Xenopus tropicalis: one gene and its partner. The protein of the gene in region 1 interacts with the protein of each later gene in a pairwise test. Links are inferred from orthologs where the notes say so. Each region holds a gene or a part of one and is shown on either strand. Other genes may lie near its edges.

Evidence for each region.
Region 2: the proteins of poldip3 (region 1) and erh interact in a two-hybrid assay, tested with the Homo sapiens proteins (2 studies listed by BioGRID, with this or other methods). The link is inferred for Xenopus tropicalis from reciprocal best matches to the Homo sapiens genes POLDIP3 and ERH.

What each region holds. Positions count from the first base shown.
Region 1 is NC_030680.2:115,102,322-115,106,143, reverse strand, and holds part of poldip3 (polymerase delta-interacting protein 3), read left to right. Parts: coding exon 1-13; intron 14-537; coding exon 538-705; intron 706-1,870; coding exon 1,871-1,948; intron 1,949-2,697; coding exon 2,698-2,827; intron 2,828-3,822. UniProt on the Homo sapiens protein: Is involved in regulation of translation. Is preferentially associated with CBC-bound spliced mRNA-protein complexes during the pioneer round of mRNA translation. Contributes to enhanced translational efficiency of spliced over nonspliced mRNAs.
Region 2 is NC_030684.2:109,825,491-109,830,079, reverse strand, and holds the start of erh (enhancer of rudimentary homolog), read left to right. Parts: upstream 1-1,553; 5' UTR 1,554-1,658; coding exon 1,659-1,661; intron 1,662-1,870; coding exon 1,871-1,958; intron 1,959-4,589. UniProt on the Homo sapiens protein: May have a role in the cell cycle.

The DNA of each region.
Region 1 (3,822 bases):
ATTGCAGAAACGGGTAAGTAATGTTTCTGGCATTTTTTGGTATATAGTCTACTGCTTACAGGGATTGCATATAAGTATGTACACTATTAATATATTTGCAGTTACCAATATCATAGATCACACGTGTGTAATCCACTGGTGGCCTCTACCTCAAGACATCTCTGTGCTTCATTTGTCACACATTAAATAAAAGGCAGAGGGAAGGGTATTCACTGTTTGGTCACATTTATTGCTGAATGTTCAGTCCTGGTCTGTTCCAGACTATATCATTGTTATTAGGCAGATACAGCAGCCGCAGGTTTTGACTGTAACTTTCTGGCGCATGTCTGCTCACTGGGGGTCATTAACAGGAATTTAGTTAGTATAAAATGTGCCAAGATGTTTGACATTTATAAATAGGTAATATTTGAATGGTTCTTTGGTGGGTAGGGAATGCCTCTTAATTCGCTATATTAATGTATTCATTTTGAGTTAAGTATTTTTCACTGAAAACAATTGTTTCTTTTGATCCCAACTTTGTTTTTTCTCTTCAATAAGGCTCTACCTTTCACAAAGGTTGTCCAGAATGACACCTACACTGCACCTGCTGTCACACAGGCTGCTTCAACTGCAGCCCCCTTACTTCGCACAAAGACTTTGACCAACATGTCACGGACACTTGTAACTAAGGAAGATAACACTCCACTACAGGTGGCATCTAAAGAGGTGACTCACTGTGCATATTATAAAGAAGCAGGATTAGTTTAAATTTGTGTTGCAGACTGATAGGATGTTAGTGCAAAATATTTATTCCATATTAAATCTAAAAGTATTGTATCTTAAATATGCTGTGCCTTTTCTTTCCATTGTTCTAGCATTTGAAAATAAAGAGTTGTCTTAGAGGCAAAGAGTGCTTTCTTTGTCGTAGCTATTGTTATAGCTAGCCCTTTACTCTTTATATCCTGTTATAATGTAGTTTTGATATGGCATGAAACTGGTTCAGAATCCTTTATCAGTGCTGTCCATCTTTGACTTATTTATGGTTCGGTCATTTGATTTTGAATAAAAAGATTTCTGTGGAGCCGTTGGGCCCGCATGTCATAAAACATTAATTAGAGCACTCCCTCTATCCCACAGCCCTTAAGTTTGGTGATGCATCTTAATTGATTATCAAAAGAAAAAAATGTTTGGAGAAGGTTACATTACACCCTGTGAGAATTTCAGGCATGAGACTCCCACACTGTTAGATTGTTAGCGTTAAAATTATTATAAGTACATGGCTTACATTCCACAGTCCTTTACAGAGCTTATACATCATTGTAAAAAGTGGAAATTACAATCTAAGGTTTATGTGACACATTCACACACACTCACACATTTTTTGTCAGGAGCGGGTTACTTTCTTTTTTGAGTGTGTGGGGGTGAAACCCACCCAAGCATAGGCAAAGCAGATTCCTTGTGGGCATTTCTATGGCTGGAGTCAGACCTAGGACTCCAATGCTGAGGGGAGCCATCACTCTGGTTTTCAAAAGCTGGCAAATTGTTTACTTAATTGTGATACATTAAACCAGTGATCCCCAACCAGTGGCTCATGAGCAACATGTTGCTCAGCAACTCCTTGGATGTTGCTCCAAGTGGCCTCAAAGCAGGTGCCCATTTTTTAATTTTGCAATGCCAAACAGAGCCTCCTGTAGGCTGCCAGTCCTTTTAGGGCCTTCAAATAGCCATTCACAGCCCTTATTTATCACCCCAGAAATGTTTTTATGCTTGTGTTGCTCCCCAACTCTTATTACATTTACACATGGCTCACAGGTAGAAAAAAGTTGGGGACCCTTGTATTAAACTGTATTTCTTTGTAATTTATAACTGATTGATTTCTTTTATTTTTAAGCCGGTCTTCAGCCCTCTAGAAGGTACTAAAATGACAGTTAACAATTTGCACCCTCGTGTCACAGAAGAAGATATTGTGGTAAGTGTCATATACAGAAACATTAAGATTACAAAGTGAACCAGGCAGCTGGCAAAAACACACTTGTTGTTTTATATGTGCATGGAAAGGAAAATTCTGCTGTAAAAGAAGAGTAAGGCATATTGCAAGGAAAAATAATAGAAGAAATCTTTTGAAGGGACAATTGACCTTATAATTTACATTTAGTGGTATGTGGGTAATGGTGTTCTGAGGCAATTTGCATTTGGAGTTATATTTAAAAAAAAAAAAAAAAAGTTCACAAAATAAACTTTTTCTGCTATACCTTTCCTCTCAGGCCTGAGCCTAGGGTACACGATTTTAGGGGTTGCATGCCTCCCAGCCACAGCTCTTGCTGTTTTGTTCATTCTTACCGACAACAAAGCACTGGTGACTGAGGGGCATATTTGTTGCTATGGGCAACATCACCATACACTCTATAATAAACTGCTTCCTGCTTGAAACTACCGAGCGGAGCTGCGGAAAAAAAAAAAAAAAATTTCAATACGCCCTGTATACTGACAACTATTTTAAATGATCTGCCACTTTTGGGCCATGACTGTGCTGTTGTACCGAACTTACATTGATTTCCATTTACTAAAATGGCAAATGCTTTGTGTTCTATTGCTGTAACCATCCAGTCTCCTCCCTCAGTGTTTCTAATAACTATGCTGTAATAGGACTGTCCCTGTTTTTAGTGGCTTTCTAATCTAATGATGTGGTATTCTGTCTGACTTTTTTTTTTTTAACAGGAGTTGTTCTGTGTATGTGGAGCCTTAAAGCGAGCCAGACTGCTAAGTCCTGGTGCGGCAGAAGTTGTTTTTGTGAGGAAGGACGACGCAGTTGGTGCTTATAAAAAGTACAACAACAGATACCTGGATGGTAAGTGAAAAAGCTAAAGCTGAAAGGCTTATTCATCCTAACTGTCTGTGTCTGAGAAAAGCTAGGATCAATTCAGACAGTAAAAAGGAGTTTAATTGGTTTTGTGCATAAGGAGTATTGAAGTTCTGCTACAGAAGCTGCCAGTGCAGATATTTGTTATTACATTACATTACATTAACATTTATTTATAAAGCGCCAACATATTCCGCAGCGCTGTACAATATGTGGGTTACATACATTGGACATACAGAGTAACATATAAAGCAATTAATAACCGATACAAGAGATGAAGAGGGCCCTGCCCAAGAGAGCTTACAATCTACAAGGAGAAAGGGTTGAGACACAAGGTGTGGGAATGGGCATGACCAGAGTTGTGAGAGGTGTGGCACAGGGTATTGCTAAACTAGATTAGGGTAAGCCTCTCTAAATAAATGTGTTTTTAGAGATCTCTTGAAGGCAGAGAGATTGGGAGAAAGTCTGACAGTTTGTGGGAACAATTCCAGAGAAGGGGGGCAGCCCTTGCAAAGTCTTGAATGCGAGCGTGTGAGGAGGGAATGAGAGAGGAGTTGAGGAGCAGGTCAGTAGAGGAGCGTAACAAGCGGGTTGGATGGTACCTAGAGATGAGTTCAGAGATGTAGGGTGGGGCAGAGTTATGGACTGCTTTAAATGTGAGGGTCAATAGTTTGAATTTTATCCTGGATGGTAGGGGAAGCCAGTGCAGGGATTGGCAGAGTGGCATGGCAGAGGAGGAGCGGTTGGAGAGGTGTATGAGCCTGGCAGCAGTATTCATTATGGACAGGAGAGGGGACAGTCTTTGGAGGGGAAGGCCAATTTATAGGGAGTTACAGTAGTCCAGGCGAGATATTATTACGACTTGTAATGTGCTAGCTTAATTACTTAATTTAAAATAATGTATACTGAAAACATAACCTATTAGATATATTTTGTGTGTTAGTTCTGAAAGCTTATATCTAAATAAGATGTGAGTTAATTAG
Region 2 (4,589 bases), on another chromosome or scaffold:
ATATTGTTTACATTATTTGCTTTTCTCTTTTGCCAGTATTCACATGGGGGGGGGGGGGGTCCCCCTGCGGTTAAAATGACCTGGATGGATATAGTTCTATTGTTACTGCTACTTTGTATTAATTATCCTCAGGCCCTCTCCTATTGCTTTTTCAGTCTTTTGTTCATAGCATGGACTAGTTGCTAGGATAAATTGGACCACTGTAACCAGACAGGACCTGAAAATTTCAAACTGCAGGAGTTGTTTAACCATAACCTAGATAATTGAAAAAAACTACAAAAAATGAAGGCTAATTGCAAACTGTCAGAATACCACTGCCTACATTTAACTCAACGTTAAATTTAAGGTGAACTACCCCAGTAATGAACAATCATAAAACCACTTGTTAAAGGAAGCGTTTCATTAGCCGCTAACACACTTTCCCCTTACTCTCCCATAAACCTATTGTGTTCCCCATGTCTGTGGGGGGTTCCACTACTCTTAGTTAGACAGTGAGCTCTTTGGGACACCCACACCTACCAATTGATATCCCTTAATGCTATTAGTAACTACAGCTATTAATAGAAAGATTAGATATAACCTTCCTGTGCAGTTTGATGCTTATCCTTTGCTATGGTATGTACTCCATGGTCTCTCTGATCTGTGCTCATGGAATGGACATGATGCTATGCATACTGGGGCCAGTATACAACTATACAGACACATAGTGGATATAAATTACATTTACCTATACTATTGTCATTTACAAATAGCCTCATAAAACATATACACAAAACTACTCCCTGCCTATACTTCAGCCCATGGCAGGTGTAGCTCAGCAAGACTTGTCCCATTCGAGGTTGCCAATCAGTGCACTATACCGATAAATAATGTAGGTACTCACACACTAACAGACAGGCACAGCCGGTCCGGAACAGCTCAAACCGAATACGAACCACAGGGCTATTCCTTACCGCTGAGCCCAAAAATCTGCTCCGGCTTGTTCAACAGACTCTGACAGCCCGCAGGAACCTTAGTGGCTCTCGCACATACGCACCGCCATCTTGCTGTGCCTCAGAGCCGCGGCTGCCATGGTGTCATTACATGAGACTACTTCCGGGTTAGCTGGACAATGGCGTCACAGTAGGGAACGTAGATAGACGGACAGCGCTGCGTGGATAGAATAAACATAAAGACAGAGACACGCCCCTTTGTGGCGCACATAAGCATTTAGTAGTTACAAACAGGCGAAAAGCGTCGCAGAAAACGACATAAACTCGTATAACAATATTTACAATTAAATGTATAACAATAAAATATATAACAATAAAATATATAACAATTAAATTTAACTATTATATAGTTTAAGGCGTTACCTCCATCCTCTTGTCTCTTTGACACATAGCTCTTGTACTTTTTATTCATTATTGTAATGACCCCTTGTTTATTATTGTGCTGTTGCACAGCGATACATACATACAGCGCTATATAAATAAAATACACGTACAGTCATATTACACCCCGAGCCCTTATTAATCATGGCCGCCACGACCTCCCATACTAGTCTCGCTGTATGATACCTGGAGCGTTTAAATCTAACTACTTCCGCCGGAAACACGACTTTCCATTTCCTGCTTGCTGCTTCGGGTGCTAAGTTGCGGTGTGTAGAAAGCGCAGATATGGTGAGTAGGAATGGCTGCTGGGCGGCGGGGCTTGTTAGCGGGTGAGGGCGCAGAGAAGCAGCTGCAGGCCGCGGCGGGCTCCTGAGTTCCAGGGGGCGGGATGCGCGGCCCCATAATGTAGCGATGGAGGCCCCCCTCGGCCCGGGGCTCTGCAGCTGCTCCTCTGCTTGTGTTTTGCCTGTAGAGCTCACACGGCCTCTCTCTTGCAGTCTCACACAATCCTACTCGTACAGCCCACCAAGAGACCCGAGGGCCGGACCTATGCAGACTACGAGTCGGTGAATGAATGCATGGAAGGTATGTTAGCCTCACATTTATTGCTTGATAGGAAGGGAAGTGTAGCTACGGGTTACTCGCACTCTATACATTCCTTACAGCACGGGGTTTTCCGCCCAAACCTCCTTTACTGCCCAGGATTTAGGCAGCCCCCCCCCCCACATTCATTTAGGCAATTATCACTGTAGCCTTGATCAGAGCTATGTTTTATATCCGCTTTTTCTGATATCTCCAGGAAATAATTGTTCCCCCCCTCCCCCAGCCCTGAGTATGTAACTGACCTTTATGGTGGCCATACATGGGTTAATTTTGGCTGCCGATATTGGGCCTTTACACTAATTCTGCAGCTTATCTGCTTATTGGGCCTTCTTGACGACGTCTGGCCTGAAATTGGGCAGATCTCAATCGGGCAGGTTTGATTTTTCCATCAAATCGGGACCGCATCCACCCGTGCCTATACTCGCTGTTTTCTTTCGATTGTTTGGCCCCAGGGCCCAACAACTAGATTAGCCCAATAGTGCCCACCCTCAGTTGGGCATATCGAGAGAAGATCAGCTTGCTTGGCAACCTTGCGAAGCAAACTAATCTTACCATGTATGGCCAGCTTTAAGGTGGCCATACATGCACCGATAATACGAGGTTTCGTACGATATTCGGTGCGTGTATGGTATGTCGGCGAGTCGACCAATATCGCAGGAAGCTGCTGATATCGGCCGACTCGCCGATCGGACCAGTTTGAAAATTTTGACCAAATTCTGACCAAAATCTCCCTTCACCGCTGAATCGGCAGAAGGAGGTAGAAATCCTATTGTTTCTACCTCCTTACCTGCCGATTCAGCCCTGAATGGTGTGTGGCTGATCTGACGATGTTTCGCACGGGGCATGTAAGTATAGTCATTCTCCCCAAATCTTACCCCGACTGGCATTTAGTGTCTGTCCCATTTAGGTTGGCCAGCCCCAGTTATATTTGTATAAAGATTAATATTTCCTTAAATTTAAAGTATATAGTGACTAATGTACCCCTTCTTATAGATAAGATAAACATGACCTTGTATTTTCAGAAGGTGTATATGGTCATGTGACTCCTTGGTGACTTCTATTATCTTCATAAATGTTAGTACTGGGTACATCCTCAATACAATCTGCAGGCCTTAGGGGTCAAAGGCGGAATCTGGAACCTAAACTCTCGACCAGCACTTGACCTGTTAGACCCCCCCTTTGAACCCCCGGGGTTATATTGTGAGTTGCGGGAGAGGATCCCAATGTGTGAGAGGCAGGAGGGCTCCACAGATATAAGTGGTGTGGGGGCCCTGTGGGTAGCATAGTTCCACCTCTGCCTCCATTTTGTTCCCCTCCTCACAGATGTGGGGGATAGTTGCCAGTATGCTGTTCTTTTGCTCAGGGTGGCTAGGGGGCATAGTTGTATCCATGCTTATGTTTTGTTTACCTCCCTTTTACAGTTCCCCTTGTTCCCTTTCCTCTGTTTGCTCCCCACACTTTCTCCCATGTGTCTGCCCCCCCCCCCCCCCACACTTTCACTGTTCTCCATTTCTTCAAAGTCCTGTTTCTTCTGGAACTATAGTCAGATCTGCTTTTCCCTTTGTTGCTGTTGAGCAGGCGGTTAGGTGGGAGGGTCTGGCTGTTCAGTTTGGTGGGGACGCAGTAAAGTAGTTGATTCAGGCCTGAGGGGCCAGTGTTTGATTGAGCGGGTCTTGAGGAGGCAGACAATCCGGCAGGAGAAGTTATACTACGGGCAGGCAAATGGTCTCTAGTTTAGTTTACAATGCCGTAGGGAATTGGCCAAACTGTAGATAATATAGACAACAATGTATCGTTATTGTAATTTTATAACAGGGTACATTGTTTTCATAATTCACAGTTTTCAGTAAGTCATGTGACAGATTACATCACTAAGCACCGAGTATAACCTATGACATCACTAAGCACACTCTGTAAGCATATTGGCTACAGGATGTTTATGGCTCTTGAGTATATTAAAAGTTCCATAACCTGTATAAAAGCACAAAATCCTTTGGCTTTTTCACCTTGGCAAATTCTAATTTTTTTAATTTTGGAAAAGGGGGTACATATTTTTTTGTTTATAATACATAAGTTTCAATGTGTCATGTGACACAAATAACGTTACTAAGCACTGTTTAAATGGATGTTTGACTCTTGCGTATTATAAACGCCTTGTGGCATTTTTCTGCTGTCTAAGCCTAAATAGCACAAGTGGAACCTTGGCTTTAATAAAATTATGTGCCTTTCTCGCAAGTGTGCAAACGCAAAGATTTAACATATTTCTATATAGAGAAGTAAGTAGATTGTTCTTACCTTGACCTTCTTCCCTACTGATCATAAAGCCCAGATTTAAATCACCTCCCTGTTGGAATTAATCTTGTTATAATCCATCCTTTGTTGAAGTTAAGGAACTACTCAAACTCACTGTAATGCGATAATTATTTATTTTGGGGATGATATGCATCAGACGCGGCACCACGTGGCAAAAGATGTAGCATTGATTTAATTGATTCTTGCTGCTGCCTTCCTAGTTATACTTGCTTCTTGGGTGCTTTTGTTCTGGTACATGTATGGGATCCCTTATCCGGAAACTCATTATCCAGAAAGTTCCTTATTATGGAAAGGGCACCT